Nothobranchius furzeri: one gene and its partners. The protein of the gene in region 2 interacts with the protein of the main gene of each other region in a biochemical or structural test. Links are inferred from orthologs where the notes say so. Each region holds a gene or a part of one and is shown on either strand. Other genes may lie near its edges. The genes, in order: cript, dlg3 and gda.

Evidence for each region.
Region 1: the proteins of dlg3 (region 2) and cript form a complex in vitro, tested with the Homo sapiens proteins (2 studies listed by BioGRID and IntAct, with this or other methods). The link is inferred for Nothobranchius furzeri from reciprocal best matches to the Homo sapiens genes DLG3 and CRIPT.
Region 3: the proteins of dlg3 (region 2) and gda form a complex in vitro, tested with the Homo sapiens proteins (2 studies listed by BioGRID and IntAct, with this or other methods). The link is inferred for Nothobranchius furzeri from reciprocal best matches to the Homo sapiens genes DLG3 and GDA.

Annotation. Positions count from the first base shown.
Region 1 is NC_091756.1:43,770,680-43,779,339, reverse strand, and holds the start of cript (cysteine-rich PDZ-binding protein), read left to right. Parts: upstream 1-3,951; 5' UTR 3,952-4,092; coding exon 4,093-4,108; intron 4,109-4,266; coding exon 4,267-4,332; intron 4,333-4,615; coding exon 4,616-4,670; intron 4,671-5,456; coding exon 5,457-5,560; intron 5,561-8,660. Other genes in the region: pigf (phosphatidylinositol-glycan biosynthesis class F protein), read right to left, coding at 450-558, 634-750, 907-998, 3,284-3,511. UniProt on the Homo sapiens protein: As a component of the minor spliceosome, involved in the splicing of U12-type introns in pre-mRNAs. Involved in the cytoskeletal anchoring of DLG4 in excitatory synapses.
Region 2 is NC_091741.1:84,157,354-84,166,013, forward strand, and holds the start of dlg3 (disks large homolog 3), read left to right. Parts: upstream 1-4,217; 5' UTR 4,218-5,022; coding exon 5,023-5,385; intron 5,386-8,660. UniProt on the Homo sapiens protein: Required for learning most likely through its role in synaptic plasticity following NMDA receptor signaling.
Region 3 is NC_091757.1:40,759,138-40,762,737, forward strand, and holds the start of gda (guanine deaminase), read right to left. Parts: upstream 2,244-3,600; 5' UTR 2,187-2,243; coding exon 2,058-2,186; intron 1,509-2,057; coding exon 1,420-1,508; intron 1,293-1,419; coding exon 1,121-1,292; intron 807-1,120; coding exon 719-806; intron 1-718. UniProt on the Homo sapiens protein: Catalyzes the hydrolytic deamination of guanine, producing xanthine and ammonia.

The DNA of each region.
Region 1 (8,660 bases), on a different chromosome or scaffold from region 2:
GACCCATCTGCTTCCAGCAGGATAACGCAGCATGTCACAAAGCTCAGATCAGCTCTAGTTCCAACAATATTTTCATTTCATGCAAAGAGCAACAACATATTTTCTGGATGCTGATACTGCACTTATTGGGGTCATAACATTTTCAGTATGTCTTTTTATTTGTGTTGCAAGCCCTTAAACACACTCAATATTTAAAATAACACTTGCAAATTGGATCACACATCAGCGTGATTCAGATTCCCTTCTCATCAGTAACTAAATGAGAAAAAGCAAAAACTCAAGAACATTTTTAAAAGGAAAGTTAAGACTCATGTTGATTTTGCAAAGATAAAATAAAGGGAATTGTTTAAAAAAATTGTATTTAAGAAAGTTTGATCTCAAATTAAAAAAATAAAATTAAAATAAAAGCTCAATCATGTACATGTGGGTTTTCTATGCGAGCTGCTGACCTGCCAGGGCCTGTCCCAGTCCAAAGGAATTGGAAATGCTCCAACCCAGGCTCCTATCAGGGTGCAGGCCACTGTGATCTGCAGGCAGGTGTCCCACACTGACATGGCTCTGAGGACAGGGACAGATCAAGAGTAAAGTGTGGGAATGGGATGGAAAGATGATGACAGGAGAGTTTTGGCTTACCCATGCCGACTGAACACTCGTATCCAGGTCTGAACGTTAGGGCCAAGAACACAGAGGCACCTCAGCGTGGTCAGTGAGGTCAGGAGGACAGAAAGTGAAAATGTCTCTAAAGCAGATCTAAAAAGTATAAAGTTAAACACAAGCTGTGTCAGCTAAGTAAAACCGAAGAAGAGAAGCACTGCTGTAGATAAATCTAGAGTGAAAACAAGCTCTAAATACACTGTTTAACAATGTGTGTGTGTGTGTGTTACTTGAGCAGAATCAGCTACTCACTCTATCAATGGAGCTCCATAGAGAACCACCACCGTGTAGAAGAACAAACACGACAGGAAGAAGTACAAACAGGAGCGAGACAGCCTGGACAGCTGAGGACAGAAAGACATGATCGGATTAAAAACTAAATGTTTTGGGATGAAAACTAAAATCTTAGAGCATTTGAGAATGTGAATGTGAGGGATGGGTTCAAAAAATATGTGACCAACAATAAATTATAGAGAAGTTGATCATTTAAGCATGTAAAGAAGCACATCTTGCAAAATATAAAGATTATTTATTTGTCAATTCAACACACGTTAAACATGAGGTTCATTATTACAGCCTAAAACGTAGTAACTACAGTAGTAAAAAACATTTATAGCAAAATAATATCAAAATAGTAGTAAAATATAACAAGTCATAATAAACAAAGTGAAATAATTAATATTGTGTAAAAAAATACATTTCCTAACTTACAACTTTGGTTTGATATACTAAGATGTTTTAATGAAATAGTAACAGCTTCTAAATCCAAGACCATGCTCTTGAGTAGCCTTCTCCGGGTCAGGGATGAGGTCCCGCCTCAAGTGGAGGAGTTTAAGTATTTCGAGGTCTTTTTCACGAGTGAGGGAAAGCTGGAGCGTGAGATCGATAGGCGGATTGGTGCTACGTCTGCAGTGCAGCGGGCGTTGTACCGATCTGTCGTGGTGGAGAGAGCTGAGCTGGAAGGCGAGTTTACCAGTCGATCTACGTTCCTCCCCTCATCTATGGTCACGGGATTTGGGTAGTGACCGAAAGAACGAGATCACATATACAAGCGGCTGAAATGAGTTTTCTCCACTGGGGATCGGGTGAGAAGCTCGGTCATCCAGGAGGGGTTCGGAGTTAGACCAGCTGCTCCTCCACATCGAGACAAACCAGTTGAGGTGGCTTGGGCATCTAGTTAGGATGTCTCATGGACGCCTCCTGGTGAGGTTTACTGGGCACTTCAAACTGGGAGGAGACCCAAAAGAAGATCCAGGACACGCTGGAGGGTCTCTTGGATGGCCAGGGAACGCCTTTGGATTCTGCTCCTTCCAGATTTCTTTGTTTTCACCTTTTTGTCACGCCAAAATGTTTCAGATCAGCAAACACATTTTCAATATCGGACAAAGATAACCTGGGAAATTAAATGTTTAATTTATTAACAAAAATAGTCTAAACCAACCTGGAAACGCACTGTCCAAAATGGAATAATTTGCTACAAGTCTTAAGGATTATTCTTTTTTTAACAAATGTGAGAGGGTCCTTTATGTTCTTCTTTGTCAGCTGAGGTCGTCATCATAGGACTCTCACATGGAGGCCATTTTTGTTTCCCATCTCTTTTTATTATTAAATCCTGAAGTCTGACCTCGACATTAACCAAGTGAGACCTGATGTGTTGCTTCTTGAGATTTTTTTGCCTGCTTTATGAGACATGTTCTCTGAAGTCATTTCTAGAAGAGGCAAATGAACAAAACGTAATTCACGATTTAACAAAGGTGGAGGTACTTCCTTTGTTTCTTTGTACGCTTTGAGGTGACTTATGTTGTGAACTGGCGCTTTATGAAAAAATTAAATTTATTTGCCTCAAAGCAAGAATGCTGCAGGTTCGAATCCTGCCTGCATGGCCTTTCTGCGTGGAGTTAGGATGTTCTCCCCATGCTTGTGTGGCCCTTCTCCAGTAACTTGCTTCCTCCCATGGACCAGACACATCCATGAAAAGGGTTCAATAATGACTCTAAATAGTCTCTAGGTGGGAGAGTGTATGTTTGAATGGTTGTTTGTCCTTCTATATGACTGGAGACCTGTCCAGAATGTCCCCTAGCTCTCATCTGATGATGATTAGCGCTAAAGATGAGCCGTTTAGATCATGGATGAACCGAATTAAAATGAAATGAAACTCGGATGGTTTTGTTAGCTCTCTTCCCTTCATAAAGGACATAATCCTTTGAAAACTGCATTTAGTTTAGTTTACTCAAGTTCTCTTTGCCTGATGTTGAAATTTGTTTGATCTGAACCATTTAAGTGGGACAAAAAATTAAACAAATAATATATGAAATGTGTTAAGAGACAATTACTTTTTTCACACCTAAATAAAATAGATCATAACAAGAAACGCTTACAATTTCTACTTTTTCATCACCTCACCTTACAATATCCAAAACTTACCTTCATTTTCACACATCTATTAAATTTAATTAAAAAGCAAGTTGACTGATGTCCATTTCCCTGTCCAAATAATAATAATATTAATAATAACAAACGAATACATTTTGTAAAATTCATAAGATACCTTCACATATCACATAATACATTTATATGTCGAACATAATCAACAATTCACTTTAAAAACATTATCTAGTTGTTTTGGCACCTTGTATCCCAGTGTGTGCTTTTTGGTGGGCGGTGAGATGCCGAGCAGCCAGAAGATAGCGACGCTGACACAGGTCACCGTACCGGACACCGCGTAGACCCACAGCAGGTGAGTCCCATACACTGAGAAGCCCGGGACAAACACCGCGGGGATGACCGTGGCCATGAACACCGAGGCGGTGATAATCGCGTGAGTAGACGCCATAGCTTTAATTTCATGGTCCCACATGATGAAGACGTGAACTATTTACAACAAGAACCCGATAACGATGCGGGGAAGTCAAATAAAACACCTAAAAAACGTAAGGTAACATTGGGAAACTGTCAGGTCTATGTATTTCTTTTCCGCGTTTCCGTAAACACGAAGACGTAAGAACGTCCGCTTAATTTCACAGTAAAAGTCTACTGCGCACAGACATCTTAGGTGAATGATGAAAAAACATCCGTTTCGAAACATATTATCATAGATTATCGGGTCAGTTTATTTCAATTTCAAGTGAAAAAGGTGTATGTTTTACTTGTTACTCAATCTCTGCTAATGAATACGCTTGGGTTAAATAAGGTAAAAGTGCTTGACTTTATCAAACATTTATTTTGAAGAACCTATAAGCAAATAAACGGGAAGTAGTAAGTTATAGTTCGCGTTGCGTAACTCAATTGTTTTAACCAATCACAGAAGATGTTACTCGTTAAAGCAACCAATGAAACCTGTCATTTGAAATGCCTCAGCTGACCGGACGTTTACATTAGCAAAGCAAGCTAAAGCTAACAAACGATCATTTCTACTGCGTCATTCGACACACCGCAAAGATGGTCTGTGAAAAGTGTATGTATGTCATTTGCTTCTGATTTTCAGACGTATTGTTCATTTTAAAATCTGATGAACGTTACTTTTGTCAGCGAAAGTCTCAAATGCAAACTAGAAGGCCAATAGTTTAGTTCTTATTGTATTTTCCTCCATAATTGTTTTGTTTTATATTTTAGGCGAGAAGAAACTGGGAAAAGTAATTACCCCCGACACTTGGAAGGACGGAGCACGGAATACAACAGGTGACCCGAGGAATGCGTAGTGAAATGTTTTTTTGCCATCAGTATGATAAATTGCTGTTTGTTAATTATTCTAGATATGAGACTTGTTGTCTTGTTTACAAGTTACTTTTGAAAATGTAATCATTGTTTCTATATTTTTTCACGTTACTAGCAGGTTTAGTCCTCATTTGGTTGATCACGCCATAATATAAATTAATTGGTGTTTATTTTTTTTATATTAGTATAGGTATAGTAACATTTAGATGTCCGTGTTTAACAAGTTTGTCTTCTTTCTTTGTGTCAGAGAGTGGAGGACGTAAGCTAAATGAGAACAAGATTTTGACATCCAAAAAAGCCAGGTGAGTAAAAACAATTTATAGAAAAAAATAAACTTTAATTACAACAATCTAATGAATGTAAATACAAATATGAGAAGTCAGAGAAAATATTCTAAACGCATTAATATACTTATCTTAAAATTACCTTCTTGAAATTGAACCAAAAACTGTTATTTTACTAAAGTTCAACCTTATCATATAAAACTTTCTCACCACCATATTTGCTTGGGCATACATTTTGCTGCATTGGCACAAATCACCACATGAATCATCATTAATCATCTGTCCTTAGTATTTTACTTTATGAACCACGTTTAAATCCTGATCTTCTTCATTTCTTGCAATCATAACAGTTGATTTTTACATCATAGCTGGAACACACTCTTAAGTAACTGTTGCAAACCTGCTCTGAAGAGTAAAAGACCATCAAATCTTCAGCAGTCATGAGATGATTGGTCATTATTTCCCCATTCATCCACTCTTATGCTCTCTTAGTTAAATAAAACTTAGATCGTCCATATACAAGTTAAAGGGAATAGGTGACAATATCTGGTGAACCTTATTAGTAACAGAAAAGGAGTAGCTCTCATTTGGTTTTTAGTCTGATTGTAAGATTTGTATAGAATATGAGGTGACACCTTGTTCTTAAATCTTCCTAAAAAGCCCATCATAATGAACTCTTATCTGAACTATTCCTCAGAAGAAGTCACACAACGGTTTAGCTACTGTTTTTCAATGTTGTATATTACTAATTCAAAGTGGTCAGCTGATATAACTGGTCATGTGTGTAACAATTATTTTCATCAGGTTTGACCCTTACAGCAAGACTGGCTTCGCAATCTGCAGGATCTGCAAAAGCTCAGTTCATCAGGCTGGATCTCACTACTGCCAGGGCTGCGCTTACAAGAAAGGTATGAAGTGATTGTGCTGAAGATTTAGTTTTGTGTCACAAAAACGCTACAGCATTTCTATTAGCCCTTTTACATAAAACACACACACACATGCTCTCTATTCAACACCCTGCTGAGTTTTTCACATGTAATCATGTCACCAACAACATTATCCTTTTCCTCTGAGACAAATCCATCTGCATCCTATAGGAAAACGTGACAGTAACTGGGACGAGTTGTGAAACTGCAATGTTTGTCTGTTGTTGAACAATTCAACTTGTGACTTTTCTGCTCAGATGTTTTCATTTTTCAGTGTGTCTTAGTGTCAGAATCCGGAGAAAATTACAGCCTCACATCAACAGAGACTGTACTTGCATAATCTAGAGCCATTCTCGATAGGTTTGTTTGAATACAGTGTGTTTGTACTGTATTTAGGCTGAATGATGAAATGTAAACAGGGCTTTATCTAAAAAGGCATATCTTGATGAACATTGAAGCAAACTGTCTTAGTTGCAGGAAATGAAAGAGTGGAGTGGCCATGTTTCAGATGGTTCATCAAACATGGAAGATGCTCAGTGAAACAAATCATCTTTATAGTTTGCTGAAGTTTTCTTTTTTATTATAATGATTTCAAGGCCTACGTGTCCCATTGAACCTGCTGCCTTTGGTATGTCTTCATGATGATGCCTAGGTAGACTCACAATTAGGAATAGGGCTGCACGATATTAGAAAAACCTGCGATATTCGATAACAGTGTTTAATATTGCGATATCGATATTACTCACGATAAATGAACAAATACTAAAGTATGCAGTGTTGATGTCGTCTGGCGTGTGACGTCTGCTCTGGGTTCAAAGCAAACAAAACTAATGCATGAATTCCATTACAACATAACATTTTTATTGCAAAAATATGCAGCTGCACCTGCTACTGTATTAGTAGCAAAACAATAAACTGCATGCATGCAGTTTCTCAGTGACTTTAAAACATCACCTCCACCATAAAACTTTTTCTGATGCTCCAAATGCAGAAAAACATCCCTTACCAGGGTTTTTGAATAAATAAAAAAATATCAGAAAATAAGTTTAAATGTTAAATAATAGTTAACATCACTTAAATGGAACAGCAAATTCTCTCATTGCTACTGAGCATTTTCTCCACTTATGTGGTTATGATATAAGGCTGTTGCTGCTATTGGGAAGTGAACTGTGCTGGGCCAAACTAGGAGAATATTAAGATTTTCTGAGGGAAAGAGAAAAACAATTGTCTACCTTTCAGAAGAGGAACTGGCAAAAAACTACATGGAAAATATGTGAAAACGTTTGTTTTTAACCCCAAATTGAACAAGTTTACCTAGATCTTAAAATGCAGCTCAGATGATGAAACTGCAACTATGATTCTGATAACAAGCTAACAAATTGAACTAAGATAACTGGCTAGCAAAGCTTCTGATTGACAGTTTATGTGCAGCAGCAAATCAACTATCCTGATTAACAAGGTTATAAAAGCTCATAAATGAAAAATCACTTTGATGTGTGGGGGAACTTTTCCAGGCCCTTTTTAGCAGGGTGGGACTGGGAGGAGAGTGCTGTTGCCTTTTAGCTGGAAGCTAACCGGCGCCTGGGGCTAACATCACCACCCGGTGGAATAGTGAGAGAATGGCCCTGTATAAGTATGCAGACGACATGGCACTGGTGGCATCAGTCGGAGGACCTGTCTAAATATCAGCAGGCGGTCAGCAATCTGGTCCAGACATTTGAAGACTTTCACCTGGGGCTGAATATCTCAAAAACTAAAGAAATGTGCTGTGGGGCAGCCAGTGAGGCAGACACATCCCTGTTCAAACCCCTCAGCATACAGGGTCAGCCTGTGGAGCAGGTTCAGTCATTCAGGTATCTGGGAACAGAAATTGATGACCACCTGTCCTTTGCAAATCACAGCAACAGTGTCTACAAGAAAGCGCTGCAAAGACTCCACCTGCTAAGGAAGCTAAGAGCACTCAATGTGAACAAGGACATCCTAACAATTGTATACAAATAACTGATTGAATCCATTCTAACTTTAAATATTACAGCTTGGTATAACTTTCTTGCAGTTAATAACAAAACACAACTCTCTCGCATTGTTAAACTAGGCAGCAAAATTACAGGCTCACCTCAGATCCCACTTTCTGTTCTTCACGAGCGAGCAGTGCACAGGAAGGCAACCCTGATCAGTGCAGACTCAACCCATCCATTGAACCCACATTTTCAGCTACTTCCATCAGGAAGGAGGCACAGAGTTCCATTGGCCAAGAAAGGTGTCTATAAGAAATCATTTGTTCCCACCGCAATTACAATTTTGAAGTCTTAAAATTTTTTTTTTTTACGATAACATTTTAATACCTTTTAATTGTCTTTTATATATTTGTGTGAATGCGATATGGATTGTATTGTAAGGTGAGCCATGTCAAAGGCGAATTTCTGCCTCAATTCGAGGTGGACAATGAAGTTTATCTATCTAACACTAGCGATATGGAGGTAGGTGGGTTGGTTCACCGGCACGTGTCAGCCCGGTTACTATCAGCTGCTTAACAACACCGTGCGGACTCACGTTTGAAAGCAGCGCTGATTCCAGAAACCTCAGCACAAAGTGCGTTCGTTAATCTGAGCCAGCATGACGAACAAGGGAACGGCGCCGCTAACTCAGTTTGGGTGTTGCGTTCCACCCTTCCTAAGGGTCTATATAGGGGGCGGGCGTATTACGTGAACGGACCCATCTGATTGGCCGCATATCAGAAGGGCTACATTTGATTGGTCAAATAAAACTTCCGTGTAAAAAACAGAGCTGGTTTACAAAAAGTTGATGTATGACACAGATGGAAATGTTTGAACCAAACATTTATCGCTGTTTTTGACGTGCTTTGCGATGGGCCTATCGCACGTCCTGTTATCCCGATGACGATAAGTTTTCGATATATTGTGCAGCCCTAATTGGGAATTATGAAACTCATCATTTTTACTCCACTCTACATAATTCTTAGTGGAATGCATGGCTGTGCAGTTGGTTGCACTGTTGCTTTGCTGCAAGAAGGTTGCCGGTTCAATCCCACTTATGCGGCCTTTCCGCGTGAGTTGACATG
Region 2 (8,660 bases):
CTGCTAAGACCTATTAATAGGAGTCATTGTTGAGTAGGTAGTTTTCAGGAGACCATTTAAAGATGTTTATTGGTAGCTTCAGGTTGTTTTGTTTTAGAAAATAAAACTGATCCCTAATTTCTCTCAGATTGACTGACTTTTTGTCTCTCATCTCACAACACAGACAGGTTGCAATTATATGATCAGTAAATTGTGAGTGCACTGAATGTAGACGTGAGTTTATTTTCTTAAAGTCTGAGTAATTAGCATTTTGTAAAAGAGTGCATGAAACAATTCCTAAGAAAGACCTATAAACTTGGTTTTCTTGCAGTAAATGGGTGCTACAGCATTAGTGCATTTTAAGACGGAGCTGCCCCTTTAAGACTGCCTCACTACCGACTGTCCTTTTATGGTTCTGCATCCGGTCAGGTGACAAAAGAGCAGTCACACAGCTTCTCTGAGAAATGCCTCGAAATGACTGAAAAAAAATCAATGCTCGGCCTGTGCAGCGGTTGGGCGTGTAATGCTCATTATGATTACATGAGTGTGTTTGTGTGAGTGAGTTAGTGTGTGTGTGTGTGTGTGTGTGTGTGTGTGTGTGTGTGTGTGTGTGTGTGTGTGTGTGTGTGTGTGTGTGTGTGTGTGTGTGTGTGTGTGTGTGTGTTACAGAATGTCCAGGTGGGTTTATGTAATAGGGGACTGTGTGCAGGCTGATGCTGAGCTGATAGTGTTGGGAGAGCTGTGAGGTGGGATGTAGAGAAGCATTTCTGTTTAAATGCACAAGAGGGTTTCTTCATATGAGCATCTTTTTTATTTACCTCCAGGTTTTTATGTACACAGATTATATGTATTATCATATTATATAAATAATTTATCAGCGATGATCAGTCAATTAATCAGACATTAATCTCATATTACAGTTTCTATATTGATATGAGTAAAGTGAAGATCAGCTGATGTTTGTGTCACTACTACAGAAAGGAAATTAATTTTACCTCCTAAAACTACCAACTGAGATTGAGTAATGACAAATTTTTTAAATATGAATTATTAGAACAAGAAGATGATGATCTAAGATAATCAGATGTCTTTATCAGGACTGTTGCTAATAATGCAAATGTGAACAATCAGGATTTAGCAGTAAAAATGATATTTATGCCTTATTGTCCAAATCTATAGGGAGCCCAAGTCACGCCCATCTACTTCCGCACCATGGGTCCCCGGAAGTAAGAAAAAATGAATTGTAAGTAAATGGGTCTATAAAAGCAATTTTCTGATCCCGTTTGATACGTGCCATGGATTTCACCGTGAAATTTAAAGACACGTTTTGATGCCAAGAAAGTGCTTTTTTTGTGCTTATTTTCAAACAGCGCCAAAAGTTATTTTAGATTTAGTGCAAGAAGACAAGAAAAGATGTAATAATGATGAAAATCTTTTTCTCATTTTGCATCCCATGTGGAAAATCTAGGGGTGTTTCTGCAAGAATCTGGTGGTACGCTAATCTGTCACAATCCAGGGGAGACGATACGACTTATTGTGCAGGGTATCCGCGGGTCCTTAAAAAGTCTTAAATTTGTTTTACCAAATTTAAGGCCTTAAAAATCCTTAAAAATGACAAATAATCCTTAAATACAGTTTCCAAAGGTCTTAAATGTCCAAAGACCCAATAAACAAGATTCTTTTATTTCTATAAAATTTTCATAAATTTCTAGTTGGTGTTCAGCATTTTTTGTGTATGATATTGGCGTAAGCGGAACAATACACATTCAGTTGGTTGCGAAAGGGGGCTATTTTTAGATGAGCACATTGGCTGGTTAAGCTAGTGGGCGCTTGCGCCATGGGGAAGTGGAAGTTTAATCGTAACTGGATGGCTAATTCCACGTTGGCGACATGGTTAGCACTGGTTCCAGGCAATAGCTGGAAATTTTAGCTTAAATTTAATTTTTAAAAATTGCTTAAATTTGGTCAAAATGGCCTTAAAAAGGTCTTAAAAAGTCTTAAATTTAGCTCACTTAAACCTGCAGATACCCTGTTGTGATATTAAAAGTTGGACAATACAAATTTTAAGACTGAACTTATTTTGAAAACTCAGGCCAGAGCTTCCAAGACACATCTAGTGTTATCTCAAGATCTCTTCTTCTGGCAGAAGGAAGACTGTAAAAACTGCTGCCACCTAGCTGTCAGAGTTAGAATTGCACCATGCAAAAGAAGTGCATTAAATGTTTGCATGTAAATTCTCAATAAAAAATCTACAGTGCTTTTAAATATTGATTCAGTATCATTACAGAAAGTATCACAATATTTCATTCTATCAGTACCTTTTTACATCCCCAGGAGTCATTTATGCTTGTCCCTTTGCAAGGAGAAAGATTTGCTAGCTACCTAGCATTAGAGTAAAGTCGCCTTCTAAGAAATGATTAAATTGTCCTTTGTAGCTAATGTAAATTGGTTATAAGTATTTATGGTATGATATTTTCTTCTTTCCTGTAGATTAACTATTGCCATTATGCAGCTGAAGTGTTAACCCATCTGTTCTCATGCAGTGGAGAGGTTGTTTCTTTGTCTTCCGTTCTACAGATCCATACTTTAGATTTATGACGATTCAGGTTTTTTGTCCCTCCTGATTGCACCGTTTTATAAATACGATTTGAGGAGTTTAGAAGAAGCCCAGTGTGGTTTGGAGGAGTGGATGTGATCGTGTGTGCTCGGATCACTATGCTTACATTCGTTCCTCCAAGCTCCGCCTCACTTCTCTCATTGACTTTAGAAGGGATTGTGGCTGCATCCTGGGGCATTCATATATTATTTTCTGGATTCTTTTATAAAGGACATATTTGCCTCGTTTTTTTCCTTTTTGCCCAGAAAATCTCTGTAGGTTTGAGTGAAATATCATTAAAATGAAGTGAGTTACTGTTGCATGTAATTAAGTGTGGCTGAGCCTGCTGTGTGAGCCTCCTGGTAGGGTTGCAACACGATGCAGTGTGCTCTTGTTTTAGGATCCCGCGCAGTTTGACAAGAACCTTGCTCAGATCTCATACGTCAGTTATTTATTTTTTTGTTAAATGCTTGTTGATCCAAAAACTGCATATGTTCACTTCAAGCCTGTAACGAAACAACATTTGTAAATGCTGTGTTTCTCATGAAGACACACCCAGCTCTGTCTTCCCATCACATTTCATTAATAATGCATACATACAGGGCTTTAATGGCGACACTGTAACATTCTCCATCCGTTCTCTATAAAGATGAACCTCTCTGTCGGGATGTTTTGTACCTAGTTGTGATCAACCCACAAATTCATAGGAATGCAAAATGGCTCTCGGGCAGTCCTCACACTCTGCTGAAAATATAACTGCCACAGATACACGAAAGCCATATAGACTCCCCTTCTCTGTTTTCCCTTCACACTTTCTCATTCTTAATCTCTTCCTCCACCCACTCGAAAGCCTAAGCGGGTAATCTTATTGGTTTGGTACACATGTGTTGATGTCATCATTGTGAACATGAAATAACTCCCCTATGGTTCCTAAACGAGGTTTCAGAGGGACAGTATTGTCCCACTGTGCTTATTTTGACCAGGTTCTGCACATGGGCAGTGAAATAATTCAGCAGCAGAGCTGCTTTGCCGGCAGTCAAGGAAATATGAAGAATGATGCAAATCACAGTGTGATTAAAAGGCACCCTCTGCCAAGAGGCAGGACTAGTGATGGCTGGGATAACAAGGGGCTTTAAACTGATGAGTATGAGCTTATTTACTTAGGTGTGCTTTGACACAGAGCACAAGGTTTGGGAACTGATGGCACAAGAAAGATGGAGATTCTTCTGCAGTGCTAGAGATTATCAGGGATTTGATCAGTGATCCGTTATTGTAAATTGGATTTCAGCTGCAGTGTTGTGATGGCATAACATGATTTAGACTCACGTGTCAGCTTTAGCTCCTGTTATTGAGATGCTGCTAAACTTATTTTTCTTTAAAAACAAATCTAACCACATGGGCAGTTTTTATATGGCATAATTAGTCGAGAAGTGCCATCTCACTGAAGCTAGGCAGCAGTGAGATGTGCATGTCGCTGCCCCTTTAAGAGCAGCTAGTGAAGCGCTCAGTTCTGTTGGTGCTGCTGCTGATGGCAGCGCTGCAAGTTGATTGGCTGTGGCTGTCAGGGCTGAGCTGCTAGAGGGATGCTGCTACGTATCCTCCCCCTCCCCCCTCGCTGCCCCCCCCCTCTCTCCACCTCCCTCTTGCTTGCTCACATCCCTCTGAATAATCCACATCTAGGGCAAGCTGACTGAGAGGCGATCCAGTGCTCAGCTCCTCTCTGCAGGCTGAGAAAAAGAGACAGAGAGCGAAAGGCAACGATTTTCAACGCAGGAGGAAAAACGTGACGTTTTTGACGGAACAGGAAGATAACAAGAATCAAAAGAGGAAGATTTTCATCCGCGGATATCATTTATTTATACATCTTGTTTATATATCTCTCTATATATTTGTACACACACATATAGATATTTATATATAAACATTTATCCTTGTACATATCTGTATTTGTGCTTGTCCGTTTATATTAATATTTTTATATGTAGTTGTGTGTGTAAATATATATGATATATAAACAAAAGAATCTCTCTCTATATATCTATGAATTTATATGCGTATCACTGTGAACCAAGAGAAGCAAGAAGACATTTCTATCATCAGGGCTGGTCTCTGATTGCGTGGTGGCAAACAATATCTTAAACATTTCCTTTGATCTTCTACGTCAGAGGACAAAGACTACGTGCTCATTTTGTATTTTTGTTTTCCTGTTGCTGCTTCCCATTCCTCTGAAATTCTTTTTTTTTCTTACATTGAAGAGGAGTAAAGTGGAAATTGGCAGGATCGGACGAAGAAGGGAAAATCTGAAGCAATTCCTGTGATTAGTGTTATTTCCATCGGCATTAACGCTCTTTGAGCTGATCGCAGAGTGCTGTGTGAAATCCTAGGAGGACGCAGAGACAGAGTGCCACGCCGCTCTTCTCAACATCAGCCTAGCCAGCACAGCCAGCATGCACAAACACCACCACTGCTGCAAGTGCCCAGAATGTTATGAGGTGACCCGGATGGCAGCTCTACGTAGGATGGACGCCCCAGCGTACGGAGGTGAATGGCAGGCAGAGCCCTATGGATACCCACCTGGGTATGGAGGAGGCCAGACCTTACCCCCTCCAGCCTCAGGAGGGGGTGGAAGCATGGGAGGAGGAGGGGGCACTTTGGGGAGAAGTAAGGGCAAGATGTCTGGTGGGGGCCCTGGATGCCCTAACCCAAAGGGCCAATCCAAAGGGGGCCCCAAAGTAAATGGCAACAACTCCACTGGACAAGCAGGATGGTGGCCCGAGTGCACCTGTACCAACCGGGAGTGGTATGATCAGGTAACTCTTCCACTTCGCTCTTATTTTCTCAAGCATGTGATGCTTAATGGAGGGGGCGGGGCCTGAACTGAGATAAGTTAGTCATAGTAAAGAAAAAAGATATATTGATCATGTATCAGCTGTGTATTTTAATGAAACTTTAGAAATTTTGTATTAATCTCAAGTTTTCTCATTCTGCATTTGTTGTCTGTGGTTCCTCTGTTGGAACAGGACTGATCTGGTTTCACTGCATGCGCGCACACACACACACACACACACACACACACACACACACACACACACACACACACACACACACACACACACACACACACACACACGGCGACGATGTTTGGGACTGATGCAGATGACTAATGCTTATAGATTTAACACACCTAGTGTATGTCGTCAAAGGCCTATGCTGATGCAGTAACCATAGGCCTAAAATGTCCTTATATTGACGCGGCACAGTGATGCAGTTTGCGTTTTCCCCTCAAACCAGCAAATTCTTACGTTGCTGTCCGACTATAAACCTAAATGTAGGAATTTGATTCCTTCTTGATCGACTGAATGAAGGATTGTGTCGCATAAGCAATGAGCAGAAGAAGAGATAATAAAATCGATGGTCTATATAAGAGTTGTTTTAGACTAGCCTTTTTGAACAAACATAGCACTATAGGATGCTGTCTAATACAAACCTGTTTTCAAACACTGCCCTTCTTACATGTTGCACAGTGTGAATGAAACAGCCTTTTTCATTTTTTTATTGGCACCATTTTGTTTCTGTTAACGCCATTTATTTACATGTCGTTGGAAATTACAGTTGAGAAAAGGTCAGGACAGCTTCAGAAGCTGTCTTTAATTAAGCAAGGTGCACATATGTGAGAATGAGAGCGATCTTGGGTGGGGGATGGGCAGTTCGTACGGCATGAGATCCAAGGAATGGTTCTTGCTGTGCACGAGTAAGTGTTTATGCAGCCTTGCATTAGCAATGAGTGATGCAGCATCATTGCATGCGCCGTTTTCATTTGTGCTCGATTGTGTTTTTGGACAGAAAAATAAGAACAGGGAAGGTGAGAAGAAAATGGAGAGGGAGAGTTCCTCCTAAGATGAGCTCTCGTATGAGCCGCAACCGCTCTGATATTAGCAGACTACCGCTGCCAAAGAATGCTTTCAGTGAAAAGGGAAAAGGAGAAAACATTGATGCCTTTTTTAGTTTGTATTTCATTACAGCTGCATCGAATCCAGTCAGACGTAACTCATGTTTCACACATTTGAAGCTTGCAGCAGATGTGATTATGTAAGCAGTTATTGCTTACATGAAGGTTTTAGTCTCCCAACAGGACTACCCCCTTTTTTCTGCCACTCATTTGCAGAATATGTGTTAATTAATTATTATATTATAAAAATCAGTAGCTGTTAAATGGACTCCCATCTTTAGCCTGCGTAACGATTCCTCCAAGGGTCGTATGTTTTCCTGAAATTGTTTTAATATATCGACGTCCTTTTAAATGATCTTTTCTACCTTGTTCAATGTGCATGTTCACCCCCGTCAAATCTGTGTGGGGGAAACGTACAGCCTGCCCTTCGAGCCTCAAGTACAGCTGAATCTTCAGCTTTACTGTGGAGGTAAAAGAGCTTGAATTGAATATGAGAAGTCAGGGATGGGGCAGAGGTTCAGTGGGGGAAAAATGCAAAGGTTGAAAAGGAGACAAATAAACCAATAAAGGCAGGAAGCGGCCTTAAAGAGGGGGAGGGGGTTATGTAAGAAGAGGCAGTTGGTGATGCTGTCAGTGAGAGAAGCTGGAGAGGCACTGACACTATGGGGAAGCATCTGTCTGTCCATCTTTTAAATCAGCCATGTCAATGACCAGCATGCGCCCCTCCCACCTTCCCGTGAACATGATGGCGTAGCTGGAAATACACATCCTCAATCACTGCCACCTTTTTGGTTCTTAGTTATCATTGCTCGTTCTAGTTGGGAAATGTGAATCCCACCCTTCCTCCCACTACCTTCACACAGCTGGACAGTGATCACACACACGCCCCATCACGCATCATCTTTACGCTTTCATAACTAACCAGCCTTTTGGATGTTAGCAGGGTGAAATTCAGAGTGATCAGAGCTAGCCTCTATAGCAGCATCACTAATGTGAAATGGCTCTGTAGCGGTGAACATTTCACTCTTGTGTGAGGAAATCATTAGACGGCCCCATACAAATGAACTCCTATCCCCCGTCATCTATTTACAAAGTGGTTGTACTGCTTTTGTCATGAGCTTGCTGGGTTAATTGTGGTTGATTTCAGCTGGGATTATAAGAGCTTTCTTTTAAAACAAAAGCTTTTGAATTTAAATCTGAGAAAAGTAGAGACCTCAGTCTACTGGGATCATCCATCAGAAAGCTCCCTTTTTCCCCGGCGGGCTCCAATCTGTCTTTGTCTGTTCTCCAACTCTGTGGCTATGATTAGCTTTAAATATTAATTGGATTTTATTTTATTTATTAGCGTCAATATTGGGTCCAAGATGCTCTGCCAGAGCTACTGTTTACTGCTGTACTAGCAGAGGCTTAAAAGCATGCAGAGACACAGTGGGCGTTCCTCACTTAACACTCCCATAGGTGATTATGACATGAAAGCCTCCGTGTGTGTGTGTGTAAGTGTGTTAATAGTTACACAACAGTGTATTGTACGTTTGAATGATGAGGTTTTTTTTCTAGGTTAGATTTAATTTGCTATTCTCCTAGCAGCCTTCCAGAGAGTTTCAATGTATTGGATCTACAAGTTCTACATGTTCAAATGTCTCGAGCTGGAATCCCAACCTGTAATCCTTACAGGAGCCATTCAAAACCAGCAGCATTCTAACTAGTTCTTAAAAGATTTATCGGAGAGTGTTTCTTAGATGTATAGTATATTATCAGAATCAACGTGCAGTCGTAACGGTACAGAATCGTCTGTGTGAACAGCAAGCCGCTGCAGATTTTAAATTTATGAACATTTTTACAATCATGATTTTCAAACCTGAACCACAATTGAATTCCAACTAGAGGTCATTCAGTCTCAAGTCACATGAATTTTAAAAGAAAATTGTTATGAAGCCTGGGCAAATCTCATAATATGCAAATAATCATCAGCATCATAATTTCCAAAATTAGCAGATAACAGTAAAGGTCCAAACCTACAAAAAGATTAATATTATAGTACTACAACTTCACAATCAACAGCTTCTTGAAGACGAAACTATGCATATTACCTGCACGAGACTGAAGAATATCATAGTGCTACAAGGCAGCTTTTGT
Region 3 (3,600 bases), on a different chromosome or scaffold from region 2:
AAAGTTAAGGGTTCAGTGACCACGATTACATAAAATGACCGAGTGAGGCTGCAAAACCTCATGTACGATTCCGCGTTTTCACCGTTACTCATTTATGTGAGCCTGCGTTCGGCGTTATGCAACAAGACAGTGAGATGATAAGAACAAGGCATAAAGGTAAAAGGCTGCTCTGCTTTTCAGCACATTTCTGCTGAGTCCAGAGGAACAGTTGGTAAAAATAAAATAAAGCTCAAATATCTGATATGTTCCTCTTTCAGAATCAAGCCAAACATGTGACGGCTTGATCACATTTTTATCTGCTGATCTAAAGGATTTCGGGCATGACATCATCAATTTCCCTCTGGGATTAATAAAGTATTTTTTGAATTGAATTGAATAATCCCATGAATAGAAAGAGCATTTTTGTGTTAAGTCAGCTAAAGAGGATAGATTTTCTTGTTCTGCAAGATGAGAAGTTATGCAAAAAAAAAAAAAACATCCAAAACAATCAACTTGATTTTAATGGAAAATGTATGTTTAGCTAAAAAAAAAGAAAAGGTGGGGTATAGATGCTGCAGTCATGCAAATTAGGAGAAAAGTCAGCTTTCTGCTGTGAATCAATCCTGAATCATGAGCTCAAATATGCTGTTTAACGAAATGTTATTCTTGTTTTCTGCATTGAAAGGCTGATTTGAATTACAGTGTTTCCCTGTGCATGTGTGCGTGTGCAACTTCGTACGTGCAATCCTCCCCAGCAGAAGAGAAGAATCCGTGTGAATAGTAGCAAAGTAACAGGCTGTAGTTGTTCCATTTCTTAGGGTTCTTTTCTGTAAAACACAAGCTTACATTACAGGAAGACCACTTCATTTCAAACTTTAACCCTCCCACTGTCTTTATGGGTGACCCGCGAGGAAAGTTGACCATTGAGCAGGATTGATGGTTTATCCCTTGAGGTCCATGTGGCAGGGGTGAGGTGGTGCTCACTCCTCCCCCCTGCCACATGGACCCAAGGGATAAACCATCAACCATGCTCAATGGCCACCTTTCCTCGTGGGGTCACACCCATTAAGACAGTGGGAGGGTTAAACCAATGGTGTCACTAAATTGTGAACTTGGGGTAAAAATTCTGCATCCTGCTCACCACTACTTGTGTGTAGACGTTATGGGCAAACTGTAAGTCCTTGAAACGGGACTCCACAGGAAAGGTGTAGGTGTTGAGCCACTGCAGCAAAGGCATGTCTAGGGCTGTGCCAGCATAGCTGTACTGGGAGGCATGAATGTGTGTGTCCACCATCCCAGGCATGAAGAACTCACTGTAACACAGCAAAAAAACAAAAACAAAAAAAAAAGGTGTGTAAATGTGTTTATTTGTCTCATAAGGATTTAATTAAGTTAATCTCTGACTTGACCCGTCTAGTGTGTCATAATTCATTCTCTTACTGATCCTCCAGTTGGATGACTTTAGATGGACTGAATCCAAAGGTCTGAGACAAATCCTGTAACTCTCCTCCTTTGTCAATAAAAGCAATCTGATGACAGAAAGAGGTAATTAGATGTATTTATAACATGTGTCAAGCTTTTAACCAGAAAACCTCACCCTCTTCCTGTATTGATATTTACCAAAAAGTTCCTGTATTTCTGCATTCTGTTATAATTTTATTCAATAGGTTTATTTTACAACACCTAACAAAAATGTAAGAAGGTTTTTTTTTTGTCTAAAGTGGATATATATAAATGTCACAAGGACTGTCACATATAAAGAAAATCATATATATAAATTAAAACATTTCTTTTTATGTTTTATGTTAAATAATAACACTAACCTGTTTGTCTGGGTTACATAATGAATAAATTGTTTTTCTTTAGTAAAGAATAGTTTCACGGAAATTGCTGAATGAGAATTTATTATAATAAAAGCGCAAATGATCAAGTCACCGGGAAACAACTCAAGATAAAATATTATAAGTTTATAACTTTTCATTGCCTTCGTTTTATCAGATCATTTATTCAGTTGTCAATTTGAAAAAGAAAACATAAACTGTAAATAAACCCGATCAAATTAGAGGAGTTTGTCAAACCTTTCCTCGGGTGTCCACTCCCAGGAGCGCATCTTCTAGGATCTGGAGCGGTGTCTGAGGCGTCGAGTGGACAAATGTCCCCCTGTAGACAAACGCAACAGCGGAGCAGGACCTGACGGAGGAGTCCATTACTACAGCAGTGTGATATGTTGCGGTGAGATACCTGCTGCAATAAAACGCGGCTTTTATCTTCCTGATCACCGTCCACTAGAGGGCGCCTCCACCTGACCGCAGAGCCGGTACGCAGCCAATCAGATTAGAGGATGGGTGAGGTGTGTGTGTGTGTGTGTGTGTGTGTGTGCGCGCGCGAGCAGAAAAGGTACGCCAAGTTCACAGATGAAATGAAAACAGCTTAAAACCAAAACACAGCTTTACACTAATCTTCATGTTGTATCAAAAAACATGTTCATTTTTATTTTTAAGGCCCATTAATTTTTTTTGTTTATGAAATAAGCAGTTTTTATTTCCAGAACTTATTTACAAACTCACGAGTTAACAAGAAAACATTAATGACTGAAATTACAAGATTATTATTAAGCATCATGTGTAAAAACACATGATGTTTCAGTCATGAGTGTTTCAAAGTGATGAGAACCTCCATGACTAACACACGCCACGATGATGAAAAAAAACGGATAAAGTTCGTTCTTGATTTTATCAGGATCACATGACAGATGAAAACATGAATTCTTTAAGATGACATCATACAAGAAAATAAACATTTTATGGACTCAGGTCAGGATGAGAAAAAAGGCTGTCAGAACAACTGAAATAAGGCTTAATAACATGGAAAATAAAGAAATAATGTTATTACTTAACATTTATTTATAATTTAATATAATCCTGTGGTGAAATTGTGATATTTTCTTTTGTTTTTAATATGCTTTTAGATTAATGTAATGATGCTAAATTGGTGATTTTGATGTTTAATATTGTTGTGTTTCAAAACACCGAGGTGTTATCGTTTTTTTTTTTAGATTTAACTAATTAAAAAATATATTGCAACAAATAAGCCCAGTACAAAGGGATATGTACCCTACAGGAATCTATCGTTTTACTACCCAAAAGTGTTCAAAGCTTTTACTAGTCAGAATTGTACTTTCACTTTAAAATTATATTAATAATGTAAACACGCACGCACGCACACACACACCAATAACCAAATGAAAAATAAAACAGAATAATTTTTGGTTTTATGACCATGACATGGATTAAAGCTTATTTCTGTTTATGAATGAAACAGTAACATTTATGGATGTGGCATGCCTGAAACATGAGATAATTATAAATCTAGTTTTAAAAATTATTTGTATTAGCTAATGCTAATAAAACAACTTTATAGCAAGTTTTTTTTTAATTTTATTCGGCAATTATATAACATTAAAACCGTAATAAAAGAATAAAACCATGTCTTGACATATGTACATTCACCTGAAGGATTATTAGAAACGCCTGTTCAACTTCTCCTTAATGCAATTATCTAATCAACCAATCACATGGCAGCTGCTTCAATGCATTTAGGGGTGTGGTCCTGGTCAAGACA